2 linked regions of the Astyanax mexicanus genome follow. The protein of the gene in region 2 interacts with the protein of the main gene of each other region in a pairwise test. Links are inferred from orthologs where the notes say so. Each region holds a gene or a part of one and is shown on either strand. Other genes may lie near its edges.

Evidence for each region.
Region 1: the proteins of gtpbp3 (region 2) and protein mono-ADP-ribosyltransferase PARP11 interact in binary tests that used the Homo sapiens proteins (3 or more experiments, as listed by UniProt). The two-hybrid records come from large-scale screens. The link is inferred for Astyanax mexicanus from reciprocal best matches to the Homo sapiens genes GTPBP3 and PARP11.

What each region holds. Positions count from the first base shown.
Region 1 is NC_064409.1:19,623,704-19,630,902, reverse strand, and holds the start of protein mono-ADP-ribosyltransferase PARP11, read left to right. Parts: upstream 1-4,190; 5' UTR 4,191-4,422; intron 4,423-6,582; coding exon 6,583-6,747; intron 6,748-6,908; exon of another isoform or gene 6,909-7,199. Other genes in the region: sodium- and chloride-dependent GABA transporter 2, read right to left, coding at 866-1,058. UniProt on the Homo sapiens protein: Mono-ADP-ribosyltransferase that mediates mono-ADP-ribosylation of target proteins. Plays a role in nuclear envelope stability and nuclear remodeling during spermiogenesis. Inhibits the type I interferon activated signaling pathway.
Region 2 is NC_064423.1:19,286,443-19,294,010, reverse strand, and holds the start of gtpbp3 (tRNA modification GTPase GTPBP3, mitochondrial), read left to right. Parts: upstream 1-4,568; 5' UTR 4,569-4,785; coding exon 4,786-4,835; intron 4,836-5,851; coding exon 5,852-6,111; intron 6,112-7,568. UniProt on the Homo sapiens protein: GTPase component of the GTPBP3-MTO1 complex that catalyzes the 5-taurinomethyluridine (taum(5)U) modification at the 34th wobble position (U34) of mitochondrial tRNAs (mt-tRNAs), which plays a role in mt-tRNA decoding and mitochondrial translation.

The sequences.
Region 1 (7,199 bases), on a different chromosome or scaffold from region 2:
CGTCAAATGTCTTACATATATTATGTTTGTGAAATAATCCATAGCTTCAACTGCTTTAAAACAATTATATATTGTGTATGTCTATATACAGTATCATTACTTTCAGAATAATGTATTGTACATACTAGGGGTGGGCAATATCATATCGTATGCAATATATCGTGACACAGAAATACCATGATATTTTGTCTTAAAAGTAGTCTATTATTTACTGTGAAGCTTTTGTTGTATAATTGTTTTAGTTTATAGTTTTTGTTTGCAGTTTATATGCATGGAAATATTCTGCAATATGTTTTGCTGCATTATATTATTTTATGCTATATTATTTATGTTGTCACATTATGATTATACTGTAACTATTATACTATATTCCTGAAATGAATTTAATTATGAAATGAATTATTTTTCTGTTTTCCTATATTGCCAAGTATATGCCCTGAAATATCGTGATATTATTTTAGAGCCATATCACCCGCCCCTAGTACATACTACATAATAAGTCTGATATGAGTCTCATATGTATGATATATATATATATATATAAAGTATCTCACAAAAGTGAGAACACCCTTCACATTTTTATAAATAATGTATTATATCTTTTCATGGGACAACACTAAAGATATGACACTTTTATATAATGTAAAGTAATCAGTGTACAGCTTGTATAACTCTACATACAGCCACTAATGTCTAAACCACAGGCAACAAATAGTAAGTACGCCCCTAAATGAAAAAAAAAAAAAAAACATTTGTGACCACAAATATTTCTACTATAATCTCTAGTCATATACAGTATGTAGGTTCTTATATGTAACATGGGTCATAGTAATATAACCCATACGTATTATTTAACCACACACACCTCCTCCGTTCTTGTAGCACAGGTAAGGGAATCGCCACACGTTCCCCAGGCCGATGATCTCTCCAGCCATGGACAGCAGAAACTCCGTCTTATTGGCCCACTTCTCTCTGTGCTCTGGACCACCGGGTTCATTCTCCTTCTGAGGATCTGCAGACCCGCTGATAGGAGTGTCTTCCCCTCTGCTCTCCCCCATGAAGCCTGTCTCTCTCTCACACACGCTCACACTGCAGTGCATGTCAAATTATAATGATTTTTTTTCACATTTAGATTTGCATTGCGGGTACAATGTTTGCATAATTAATCCTAACATAACTGTAATGAGAAAGAATGACTTTGAAGTTGACTGTCACTGTTACTTTGAATAGTGCACTTCAGAATGCATCATATCTTCTGATTTCCCACACAGTACACCAACAAATCAGGAGCTACACAGTAAATTCACTAGTTTTAAATAAACACAGTAGTGTACAGTTTTACACTCTCAGGGTAACCTTAACATTTAACACTAATAGCGTTAATTTAACACTGGTGAATTTACTGTGTATTTTTCATTCTCACAATTTTCAGATTTTTTTCAAGCCCATAACATGAAAGATATGTTCATCCTACAAAAAGTATATTTTCCTCCATAACCATACAGTCATTATTAATATTAATGTTAATATTTGTATCAACATTGGCAAGTTATTTACGTTAAAACGTGACAGGGTTGCTAATCTAATCAAAAATAACAATAATAAAAACCCTGATATAATTTTAATTGTAATAGAATGGCAACTAAAATATTTTTTAAAACATAAGTTTCATAAAAATGTAGTCAAATGTGAACAAATGAAGACACTAAAACTAATCTCATTTAATCTGATTTCAATATATAAATAAACAAACAAACAAACAACAATCTAATCTCATCTAAACTTTCCAGAACAAACTTTTTCCCCTTAACAATGTTATATAATGTAATTTTATATAATGTAATATATAATGTAATGAAATGAAATCACATCTCATTCATTCTGATCTATTTAAATAATAAAATAAAATAAATAAACATCTATCTAATCTTATCTAAACTTTCCAGAACAAAACTTTTTCCCTAACAATCTAATCTAAATATACAAATACACTAAAACTCGTAGGTGTAGTATAATAGCCATTAAAACTTTTCAGAACAAAATTGTTTGCCTCAAAAAATTGTAGTCTATCCAATAATATATGGAACATTCTGATTTAAAAACAGCACTTAGGTGTAACAGAACAGCCCTAAAAGTATAACCTAGTTTATCCCAATCTGATCTAAACTGAACACATAAATAAATTAAAAGCACCCTTAGGAGTAATAGAATGCTAAATTAAATCAATTTAATCTGCAACATAGCATATGTGTAATAAAATAGCCAATATTGGCTTCCAGAACAAAGCATTCTCACTAAACAACCCTGATGTGTAATAATACACTGTTCATGAACAACTTCCAGAATATGAGAAAGTTTTTAACTTGCAGCAGCTCCACTAAATAAGAAAAATGACTGCATTTCTGCAAAAATAACTAAAATATCTGCAGAATGAAGAGCAGGATGGAGTAAAAGACGAATGCAGACTCACCAGAATCAGCTGTGATTATTCCCTGTGAGAGTGCAGTGAACTAAGTTCTGCAGAATCAGACAGTTGTGGGGAATGCTCTGGGAGTTTGTGTGGGAGCACTCTTATCCCCACCTGTTTTCCGGAAGCCACGCCCCATTTCTCTGGATCTGGCTCCCACAACCTTGTAGCGCCAGTTTTGTTTCCCGCCCGTTTAACGCCGAGCCCCGCCCACCTACACTAGGATTAGCTGCTAAGAGCCATTGGCCAATCCTAGCTTGGGGGAGGGGATTGTCTGAAAATGGGTGGGATTAAAACTATCCGTTGGGAGGGCGTGTCTGGTCTGGCTCAGATGGTTTGGCAGCTCAGAGGGAGCATTTCTTCTCCTGCAGGGAATTCAGGATTCCAGAGAATTCCAATTCCAAAAACAGTTTGGCTATGTTTAAAGTCAAATATAATATAATTTGAATATATCTTGAATTATCATTGAGCAAGTAACAGTGATAATCACAGGGTTGTTGGTTCAATACTCAATTTTTAGGTCCACTGAGCATATAGTAGAATTTGTAGTTCTGTAAGTAAAGACTGTATCTGTTTCTCTGCATACTTTATTATTATCCTCCTTTTAGCCCGTTATTCAATGGTCACCATTGCCAGTTAGCCTATTAGCTAACTGGCTAATCTGCCGTTGTTAGTGCTCAGGCCAGCTTGTATTCTTAAACTTGTATGCCAAAAACAATTAAGAACATAATTTTTTTAACTGTACTAAATAAACTTTTGATGAAAATATATTCAAACATCTAAATTTGCATCTCATTTGTAAGCCTGTTAAGCAGAGCTGGTAAATTTTCTCATTACAGAGCAACATATTCCAGCTATTAATTTAAAAAATGTGAGAGTAGTTACTATCAAAGACATTTTGAGCTGTGGTTTATTAAAGGTTTAACGCACAACGTTAAAACAACATTGGCAGTTTTTAAAATCAACACCAAATCCAACATTGATTCAACCATAACATCAACGTTAAATCAACATTAATTCAGCATTGAAATGCCAGCAGGGTTTATTTAGCTCTGAAAAAAAAAGAAACCACTTAAAATGATAAGTTTCTTTGATTTTACCAAATTGAAAACATCTGGAATATAATCAAGAGGAAGATGGATGGTCACAAGCCATCATATCAAGCTGAACTGCTTGAATTTTTGCAGCAGGAGTGGCATAAAGTTATCCAAAAGCAGTGTGTAAGACTGGTGAAGGAGAACATGCCAAGATGCATTAAAACTTTGATTAAAAGCCAGGGTTATTCCACCAAATATTGATTTCTAAACTCTAAAAACTTTATGAATATGAACGTGTTTTCTTTGCATTATTTGAGGTCTCAAATACATTTCTCATTTTCTGCAAATAAATGCTTTAAATGACAATATTTTTATTTGGAATTTGGGAGAAATGTTGTCCGTAGTTTACGGAATAAAACAAACATACACCTATGAATAGCAAAATCAGAAGTGGTCTCTTATTTTTTGCCAGAGCTGTATGTTCAATACTGAATGATTCAGTTTATTGAATAGATATAGGAAACAGACATTTATTCGGGTCGTGTTGTGCACCAACAAACAATATATATTACTTATAAAATGGATAAATCTATATTTTAAAACATTTAATAGAAAATCATCACTTTCTTTTTAAAAAATAAATAAATCTTTTTTTTTTCTTCATGGATGCGGACGGGAGCGTCAGGGCGACGTCAGCCGTGACGAATGCGGAAGCCCCGGTAAACAATAACAACGAAGCGAAAAGGAAAGGAAATAAAAATGAAAAAGATTGATATTTCGCTGAAAATGATGAGGACAGTGATACTGCCGGAACCCAGACATTACTGCCTTTAAACTGGGCGGACTGTACTGGTTCTGCAGGGCAGATAAGAGAGACTGTAGCAGTGCAGCCGAGGGGCTCGAGCAGCAGCGGATAAGGTAATGATAGTGGATTTAAGCTCACTGCAGTTAAACAGCACTGATTAATTAATTACTCTCTTTTCTATTATCAGTATATAGCTAAAATACACTGTACAGCACCAGCCCAGCGCTGAATACTGAGAGATTCACTCACCCTGGAGCTCAGTGAAAAGGGTGTAAATGAAGTATGTGTTTATTCTGCTGATAAATTACAGATATAATGTAACAGTGTAATAACTATCCAGTGTTTTATTCAGTAAAGTTAGTTTTTGCAGTGAGTGAGAGTTAGATTACCATCTTTCTGTGTTTCTGGATGAATACTGAAAGTAAACCATAACAGTATAACTGATCAAACTTACATTAACACAATTCTTACTGTAGCATTTTTAATATACAGCACTGAAAAAAAAAATTAAGGCACCACCTCAGTTTCTGAATCAGTTTCCCTGATTTTGTAGGTACATGTTTGAGTTAAATAAACAGATTTGTTTGCAGAAAGTGAGAAATGGCTGAAATGACAAAAAAGATGCAGAGCTTTCAGACCTCAAATAAGGCAAAGAAAGCAAGTTTATGTTCATAAAGTTTTAAGAATCCAGAAATCAATATTTGATGTAATAACCTTGGTTTTTAATCACAGTTTTCATGCATCTTGGCATGTTCTCCTCCACCAGTCTTACACACTGCATTTGGATAACTTCATGCCACTCCTGGTGCAAATATTCAAGCAGTTCGGCTTGGGTTGATGGCTTGTGCTCATCCATCTTCCTCTTGATTATATTCCAGAGGTTTTCAATTCACTTTTAAGTGGTCTATTATTTTGTTCAGAGCTGTATAGTAGTATGTCACTGTCATACAGAAATATTGTATCTCCAAAAGACCTACAGTTCCAGTCCAAAAGGTTGCACGTCTTCTCATTCAATAGGTTTTCTATTTTTAAAATAATTTTTACATTATAAATTTAATATTTAAGAGACTATACATAAACTATACAAGGACACATACAGAATTATAGTGTAAACACTGTAAAAAGGAATGTTTTATACTTTAGATTCTTCAAAGTACCACATTTAGCTTTGAGAACAGATTTGCACACTCTTCTCAGCATCCTGAAGGAGTTCCTAAAGGTGCTGAACAATAGTTGCTGCCTTTCCTTCATGCAGTGCTGCAGCTCATCCCAAATCACCATCATAATTTGGTTTAGGTCAGGAAATTGTGGCGTACAAACACTTTTATTACTGTATACTACATAATTCATCAGGTTTAATATTAATCAACAATGTAGAAAATTAACTAAATAAAGAAATAAAGAAAAACATTGAATGTGCATCCAAACTTTTGACGGCCCTTGGCGGCAACAACTGCAATCAAGCTTTACCAATAACTGGCAATGAGTCTTTCACATCTCTGTGGAGGAACTTTGGCCCACCCTTCTTTACAGTATTGGTTTAATTCAGTTCAAAGTTCAAAGAGTTTATTGTCATGTGCACAGTAAGAAACAAGTTTCCTCGTACAATGAAATTCTTTCTTTGCCCCTCGCCAAGTATGCCGCATAAAGATAAAAATAGAAAATATACAATAAAGAAAGAATAAAAAACAAAATATAAATATTAATTAGTGTTAACTTTACATCCATGATGGAAATATATACATGAAAGCAGTAATGGGGTATGGATATTATTTACAAGTAAGTACATGTTATCTACAGCAGTGGAATATGAAAAAGTGCAAAAGGTTCAGCCACATTAGAAGGTTTTCCTGCATGAACAGACTGTTTTATATACATAAAAAGTAAACTGTGAGGTTTGTTGTACTTATGTGAGATTTTAATTATTTTAATTTAATCAATTATACTGTTATTAGGCCACATTTAGCCAGATATGTTATTACATGTTAGAGAAGCAGGCTTGACACCAGATGGTTGCTGGGTAATGTAAGGCTTAGATGCAGCTACTCAGCCATGGAAATTCACTCCATGGATCTCTCCTTACTCTGAAGGCCACATGAAATTTGGAGGTCTGTAGTAATTGACTGCAGAAGGTCTGTAACCTCTGTGCACTATGCTTCGCTCTACCATTTTACATGATCTAACACTTTGTACTTTTTGTAACAGTTGCTTATGTTTCCAGTTGTTTTCGTTTTGGCAAATTGTGGTAATGACATTTTGTATTTTTTTTGTAGATGCATTGCTCTGCAGGTGACAAGTGTCTGCAGCAGCATGTGGAGAACACCATCTTTAACCCCAGGAGTCCTGAGGAGGAGAGCGGTGAGGAGGAGATGGACACATCAGAACCCAACTGGCACTGGTTCTACCTGGCAGAGTGTGGAGTGTGGCATATGTTTGAAGTATGTGGTTCTTCCTTGGTCAGCTTTTACAAGTTTGCTTCCTTGCAAAAATGCAAGGAAAAAATGTCACTTACATTTTGTTGTACTTTTATTTGATTGCAGGCTGTATTAACACAACACACAGTGGTGTTCAAAATAAGTCAGCCTCCATTGCAGTAAAGTGTTTAGCAAGTTTAACTTTATTTTTTAAACTTATTCACAATCAGATTAAATAAGGACAAATGCAACTTTGTATGGCATTTAGCTGACAGTTTTATCCAAAGTGACTTACAAGGTTATTTCTATTACAGTGGTGGGTCACACACTTGATGTGGTAGCGCACTAGAAGGTAGTGGTGTTATCCACTGTGCCACACCAACCACACACCAACTTAAATTACATCAATACTTTTTCTAATATATCAACAAGTTCTTTTTGGGATTTCCTCATTGACAAAACTATACAACCCCTTA
Region 2 (7,568 bases):
AGGAGGGACAAAAAGAGGAGGAGGACACACTCACACTCTCACACTAACACTCACTCTCTGTCTGTCTTCTCTTTCTTCCTTCTTCCCTCTGTCTCTCTAATTTACTTCTCTCTTTTCAGATTCAGTAACTCTGTATTTACTGTTATTTTCTGTTTGTTTTGATATTCAATGTTTATTGGTTTCAGTGCACAGAAAAACAGCACATTAATCAGTTTCAACAAACAAACGAAACAAAAAAACATTTGTTGGTAGCACACCAAGAACAAGTGTTATTAAAAATATTCTATAAGTTAAACATAGCAATCAGTACAGTACGGCTGAAAAAGATGCAGAGCTTTTAGACCTCAAATAATGCAAAGAAAACAAGTTCATATTCATAAAGTTTTAAGAAATCAGTATTTGGTGGAATAACCCTGGTTTTTAATCACAGTTTCATGCATCTTGGCATGTTCTCCTCCACCAGTCTTACACACTGCTTTTGGATAACGTTATGCCACTCCTGGTGCAAAAAATCAAGCAGTTCGGCTTGGTTTGATGGCTTGTTATCATCCATCTTCCTCTTGGTTATATTCCAGAGGTTTATAATTTGGTGAAATCAAAGAAACTCATTTGTTATCATATTTAAGTGGTCTCTTATTTTTTCCAGACCTCTTTCTTTTTTCTTTCTAGCACCCTTCTCTCTTCCTTCTCCTAATTCATCATATTCTTGTCTTTCTAACGCTTCTTCTTACACTGACTGTTCTTTTTTCCACCGCATATTTAACGTTACCAGTGTTAAGTTTAACACTCCCTGTGTGTTAACTGGCAATCGTGCTGTGTAAGGTTTTTTCTCTTCCTTAGTTGTATCTGTTTATCTGTGTACAGTATTGTGAAATATTCCCCATGACAAATATGTCAGTATTTAGAAAACTACATTTGGTCTTTGATATTCAGTTAAAAAATCCTGAAGGATTAGGGAGATATTATTTGACACAGTTTAATTCATGTAAATACAATTTGTTGAGTTTATTGAGTGATTTATTCCTGCTTAAAACGCCTAAATTTAGAATCATCTCCAGGTAATTTAAATGTAGTAAGAGAGAATTTTGAAGTAGCCTGTCTCATTCAAACCTCAGCCATTTCTTTTACCCAATTGTGTTCTACACACTAATACTCTAGACTATATAGACTTATCTTAATAGTGCAGGTTTCAAAGATTAGCATACAAAATAATAATATAATAACCTGTTATGCACTAACAGGAAGAGATGAAAAACTGCTATGACAACAAACATCCCTGGCACAGCATTTGCATTGCTATTCAGCATTTTTCTGATGTTGTGTTGATGTAAATAGCTAAACCTCTTCTGTTTTACACTACAATGTGAGATAGTAGTGCCCATTGTAACATCACATTTTGTATATACTATAATTAGTTCATATTAATACTTTGTTTAAGTAGGGGGATTCATGAGGAGTTCTCTGAGGCCTTCAGAAAGAAGTTTGTTGATGTTTATGAATCTGGAAAGTATCTCAGAACAAACAGACCTCATTCCACTGTCCAGAAAATAATTTACAAGTGGAGAACATTTACTCTTTCTATCCCTACCTATCACTACCAATAATACATTGTAGAGTATACATGTTAAATTGGAAATTATGTAAATAGATAGTAAAATTATGAATTTCAACTGGTATCCCATGATTTTGCTATGTTTTATCTAAGGAATACCATAGTGACCTGTGGAATATGTGGATATGTGGATGTGATTTCTGCCAGAAATGTATAATTCTAGCCAGACACTGCTGGCCACCACTGTTACTACCAACTGCACTGTCTTCTGTGGGTGGTAATGTATTCTATGATGTTTTAAGAAACTGTGGATTGAGAAATGTTAAATGCTTGCATAGCTTCAGAAATGGAATGTCCCATTTGGGCACCCAATAACATGCCTTGCTGAAACTGCATTTTTTATGATGCTTGCCAAGAGCACGCTGGCCAGGTACAAACTCACTTACAAGATAAAACCTCAAAAGTGTGGACACTGCCAAGCTGTCCCTTGAGGTAACATTTCACAATCAATTACATACTGCTTTCCTATGATTTTGCCAGTGTTATATTTTTACATTTCCATGAAAAGTTTATATATTATTATTTACGTTTACATATTACCCAAACTATTAATACTCTGTTATTACTTCTTTAGGGTAACAATAGTCCAGCTGAAGTAAGCTTAGCTGATGTTGTTCCCTAGTGCCCATCATTACCTGTTGTCCCATAATGAACACCTCAGTCGAACTTACCTCCTCCATTTAGGCATTACTGCTTTGTACAACAAACTGGCTTTTTCTGTCACTCAGCACATTTCATCAAAAAGAAAACATAAGCAGCAGTTTCTAAATGATTACTGAGTGGAAAAGGAAGAACTTGGTCCACACGAGAGATTTATTTTTCAAGCTGTTCTGGTGTGTTCAGGTGCAGGCTTAGAAATGGTGCAGCTAATGAGACTCACTCAGTTCCAGAGGATGAAGCGCTGTATGATTTATTTATCAGTGCAAAAAATATCCTCTGAGCACCTCACCTTCTATGATTTTTTTGCGTGATTTACATAGAGAGAAAGATTTTCTTAGATTTGTGTGTAGCAATAATACAGGCTAATACAGTTTTACATTCCTAAATGTTATTTATTACCATAAATGTGATAGAAAAAAATATTAGATCACAATATCCATACTGAAACCACTAACATATATTATGTGTACATGAATAATACTTTTATACATACTGTATATAAATAGTAATATACATATAACATAAATATAGTGTTCATAAAACATCAACTGTTCATTATACTGTACACTGAAGACATAAAGACTCCAAGCTAGTGTGATGTGGAAAACAGATGCTATTGATCCTTTTATCTCAAATACACTAGAACTTGTGTGTGGTCAAAGTCAAGCCTCCGTGCTTAGATTTAAAACATGGTCTAAATCTCAAACAAAAACGGTCCTTATATCCTTCTATCTCTACTGGCCAGCAGCTACTAAGCAGTCACCCCCCTCCCTTCCCTCCCCATATGTCTGCTCTCTGCTAAGAGGAAGCCAAGCCATATAATTTCTGCTTACTCACCATCCACATGTCTCACCACCTCTGCAGTGAAATGAACAGCCCCGCGAGCATGCACTGCTCTCAGGTCATAGATCAATTGTCTTATTGCCCATGAGTGTTGACATATTATTTTCCATAAGCTAATAGTTCTGTATACCAATCAGAATAAGATTCAATTCATGAAATTAAAAACATATGAGACAAAGGTTTTTGGACTGTTAAGCATTGTGCTCACTTTTGACAGCTTCCCAAAATATTTAATAATTAGTAGTGTTTAATAGTGTTTAATAATTGAAAAAACAATATAACAATTTAACTATAATTGTACTTATAATTGTATAAGTCTTATATTTTAGTGGAACAATGTAAACAAATATTAAAATACTTTATGCATTAAATTATGAGCTCTTTAAATTGTAAAGTTGAGACACATATTCCCTTACTATCATACATTAGTTTTTTTTTTTTTTGTAACATTAAAATAAGTGGACTTTTTTAAAGGGGCACTAATCACCTGATTTTTGCTGACTCCACCCTCAGCTTTAATTTAAAATATGCTAAAAATTGGGAGGGGTAGTTTGGGAGGGGCACTGGGTGATGTATGGGTTTAGAAGCAGGGCAGGAGGGAGAGCTGTTTGTTAGTCACATTTACTCACCTCATGCCATTCGCAATCATTTAGTCCCCCGTGGGCAATGCTAATACCTCTTGATTGGGGAAAACAGTCTGTGTCACCTGCGAGTGCAATTGTATTCACTCTTGGGCCACTCGTTCTAGATTCCAGGAGATTTTATCTGACTTGCGGGCATCAGGGAGCCGTTATTGATATGCTGTAGATTCCCACAACTTCTGGGAGACTTGGGAAGTCTGCAGTATAATTGATTGATGGATGTGCTTATTGTGATGTGTCTGCGTTCCAAAGCAAACGGACACAGCATTCACTTCTTTAGCACAGTTAAACCTGAGAGGGCACTACAGGCAGAAATTATCAGTGTTTTTTTAAAAAGTGTTAAAATGTTTTTTAAAGGTTAGAAAATGTTTATAAACATCTTAAGCCGGAGTGGTATATGTTTAGTTACTTCAGGAACACATTTAGCTATTAATAGCAAAATATGGTTTAGAGTTTAGTGGCTCTGTAAAGAGTAAATAGATGTTAGCAGATGTGAGAAATTGGTGGTTTCAAGTCTAAGCATTGTGTTCTTGTGTTAATAGATTATACTTATATGATTAAGTCAAGTTTATTTAAAGTTATAAATACTGTTCAAATAATTTAAATGGATATGTTTTTTTTCGTATTAAAACAGCGTTGTTTTGTTGGCCTCAAACAAACGGACCTTTACACACGCTACATTTGCGGCGTCAACACGGAGACATTACGCGAGCGCACAGGGGGCGTGGCTTGGTTTGATTGACAGGGTTCGGACCAATTGAGTCACGTCTAGATTTACGGAGCAGATGAAATGAACCAATCATATTCACGAACACCCAACAACAACAAACCGAGCACGCTTTAAACAGAGCGCACAGAATCACATGTGAGAGCGGCCGGAGAGAGAGAGAGGTCGACATGGAGCTAAGAAAAAGAGAAATTACTCACAGAACCTGAGAAATGTTAATCTGCGCTGTGGAAAGAGCTCAGCTCTCTCACACTGTACCTGCTGATTTAGGGCCGCAGGAGTAATAAAGCTAAAGTTTCATCATGAGTTTATCCCGCTGCTGGAGAAGAGCTCTGCGGATGACCGCAGTAAGGTGTGTACTAGGATAGGTTACTGGTGCTGAGATCACAGACACCATTTCTGTATATTGATGGCTAATAAAACATTTAATCAGGTAAATTCAAGGAGCAGCGTGTTCATGTTTATTTTCCATATTGTGGGCGCATGCCTATAAATACAGCTCTAGGAAAAATTAAGAGATCACTTCAGTTTCTAAATCAGGTTCTCTGATTTTGCTATTTATAGGTATATGATTGAGTAAAATGAACATTGTGGTTTTATTTTATAAACTGCGGACATTTTTCCCAAATTCCAAATAAAAATAGATAGATGCTAGATGATTTGGAGCATTTATTTGCAGAAAATGAGAAATGAAATAACAAAAAAGATGCAGAGGTTTTAGACCTCAAATAATGTGAAGAAAACAAGTTCATATTCATAAAGTTTTAAGAGTAGAGAAATCAATATTTGGTGGAATAATCACAGTTTTCATGCATCCTGGCATGTTCTCCTTTACCAGTCTTACGCACTACTTTTGGATAACATGGTGCCACTACCGGTGCAAAAAATCCAGCAGTTTAACTTGGTTTGATGTCTTGTTTATATCCCAGAGGTTTTCAGTTTGGTAAAATCAAGGAAAAACATTATCATTAAATGGTACCTTAATTTTTTCCAGAGCTGTATGTTAGGTTTAAAAATCCTGATGTAGCATGAATGACACAACAATTAAATAGCTCATATTTTAATATTTGGTTCTAGAAATCAGACCAGAACTAGTTATATAGAATACAAAACATCAAATGAAAGCGTTTGAATTGTTAAAATTGTTGAAAACAAACTAACCCAGCACCATATATTCTGTAAATGAGATAAGATGAACTAAAGCACCTATTCACACACTGTCCTGTCACTTAGGGAATTTATCCTTTAAAATTACAGACAAAGTGCTGTATGGAAATTTACACAGTTTTTTAATGTTCACCATGGGCTCTTTTGGGTTAGGAGTGAATGAATAATGACAGGTTGTGTGTGTAACATTCTTCTCTGCAGGCTGCGGGTGCGTGTAAGATGTGATTCTTCAGTCAGCAGTGCCGCTGGACCCGTGGACACTATCTACGCTCTCTCCTCTGGGCAGGGCCGGTGTGGAGTGGCCGTGGTCCGGGTCAGCGGACCGGCTGCAGGCGGGGCTCTCCGCAGTGTGGCCGGTCTGAGCCGCGCTCTACCCGCCCCCCGAACCGCCCTCCTGCGCAGCATCCTTAACCCACAGACCAATGAGGTGCTGGACCGAGGCCTGGTGCTGTGGTTTCCAGGTTCGTTTACAGCTCAGCGGGGTCAATATTAAGGGTGTTCTGTATCGAATGCAATAATATCGGTAAAGTTTTATGTCGCAAAATACCCTGAAGTATCGTCATATTATTTTAGGGCAATATGGACCATCAGGGCACATTTTCTAACAGTTTGAAAGGAAAAGGAACATTTACACGGTTCTTATTTTCCAATAAATATCTAATAGAGACAGATTATATACAGCTCTGGAAAAAAAATTAGAGACCACTTAAAAATAATAAGTTTCCTTGATTTTACAAAATTGTAAACCTCTGGAATATATTCGAGGAAGATGGATGATCACAAGCAATCAAACCAAGCTGAACTGCTTGAATTTTTGCACCAGCAGTGGCAAAACGTTACCCAAAAGCAGTGTGTAAGACTGGTGGAGAAGAACATGCCAAGATGCATGAAAACTGTGATTAAAAACCAGTGTAATTCTACCAAATATTGATTTCCAAACTCTACAGAAATTAATATTTAGGTGTTAGCTACATTACAACAAATATTAAAAGTAGCCATTGCTACAATATTAACATTTAAATAATTTAATACCTAGAAATATGTTTGCTATCATCCTGTTACTGTTTCTTTTGAGGTGTGTTTGCTGTCAAACATATATCAAAAAAGGATTATAATTATATATTATATATTATATTATATGTCTATTACAGTTACATTTCTAATACATATGAGAATTTGCCCAATAGAGAAAAATCTCCATCTTTATGATCTTTTGCGAACTTTTATATACAGCGAATAGCAGTTTGGTGTAGTATTTCTTTAACTTGTTATTGATTTAACATAAAATTAACTTTAACCTTAAAATATACATTAATAGTGGAACACTTAGTTTAAAAAGTGAAAATATTGCTATATTCTTCAAAATATTCTTCAAAAACTTTACAGAAAAATATATATTTTAAAATATTTAAGTATAAGTTAATTTGGAGCGTTTGTTTTAAAACAAACATAGAGATATATGTTTTTTTTGTTTTTTTTGCATGCATGACAGCAAGGACATATCAAATCCTATATATGTACATATTCTCTTAATGCATTAAATTGTCTTATTGTTATTGAGTGTATGGTGGTTTGCGCTTGTATTATTAATAGTATTACTTATCTTGATCAATCTTTAACACTTAATTCACAATCTGTCTGAGGTGTGAAGAAGATTGAGGTGTGAAAAAGTTGTTACACCTTTTTTTTTACACGGTTCTTATTTTCCAATAAATATCTAATAGAGACAGATTATATACAGCTCTGGAAAAAAAATAAGAGACCACTTAAAAATAATAAGTTTCCTTGATTTTACCAAATTGTAAACCTCTGGAATATATTCGAGGAAGATGGATGATCACAAGCAATCAAACCAAGCTGAACTGCTTGAATTTTTGCACCAGCAGTGGCAAAACGTTACCCAAAAGCAGTGTGTAAG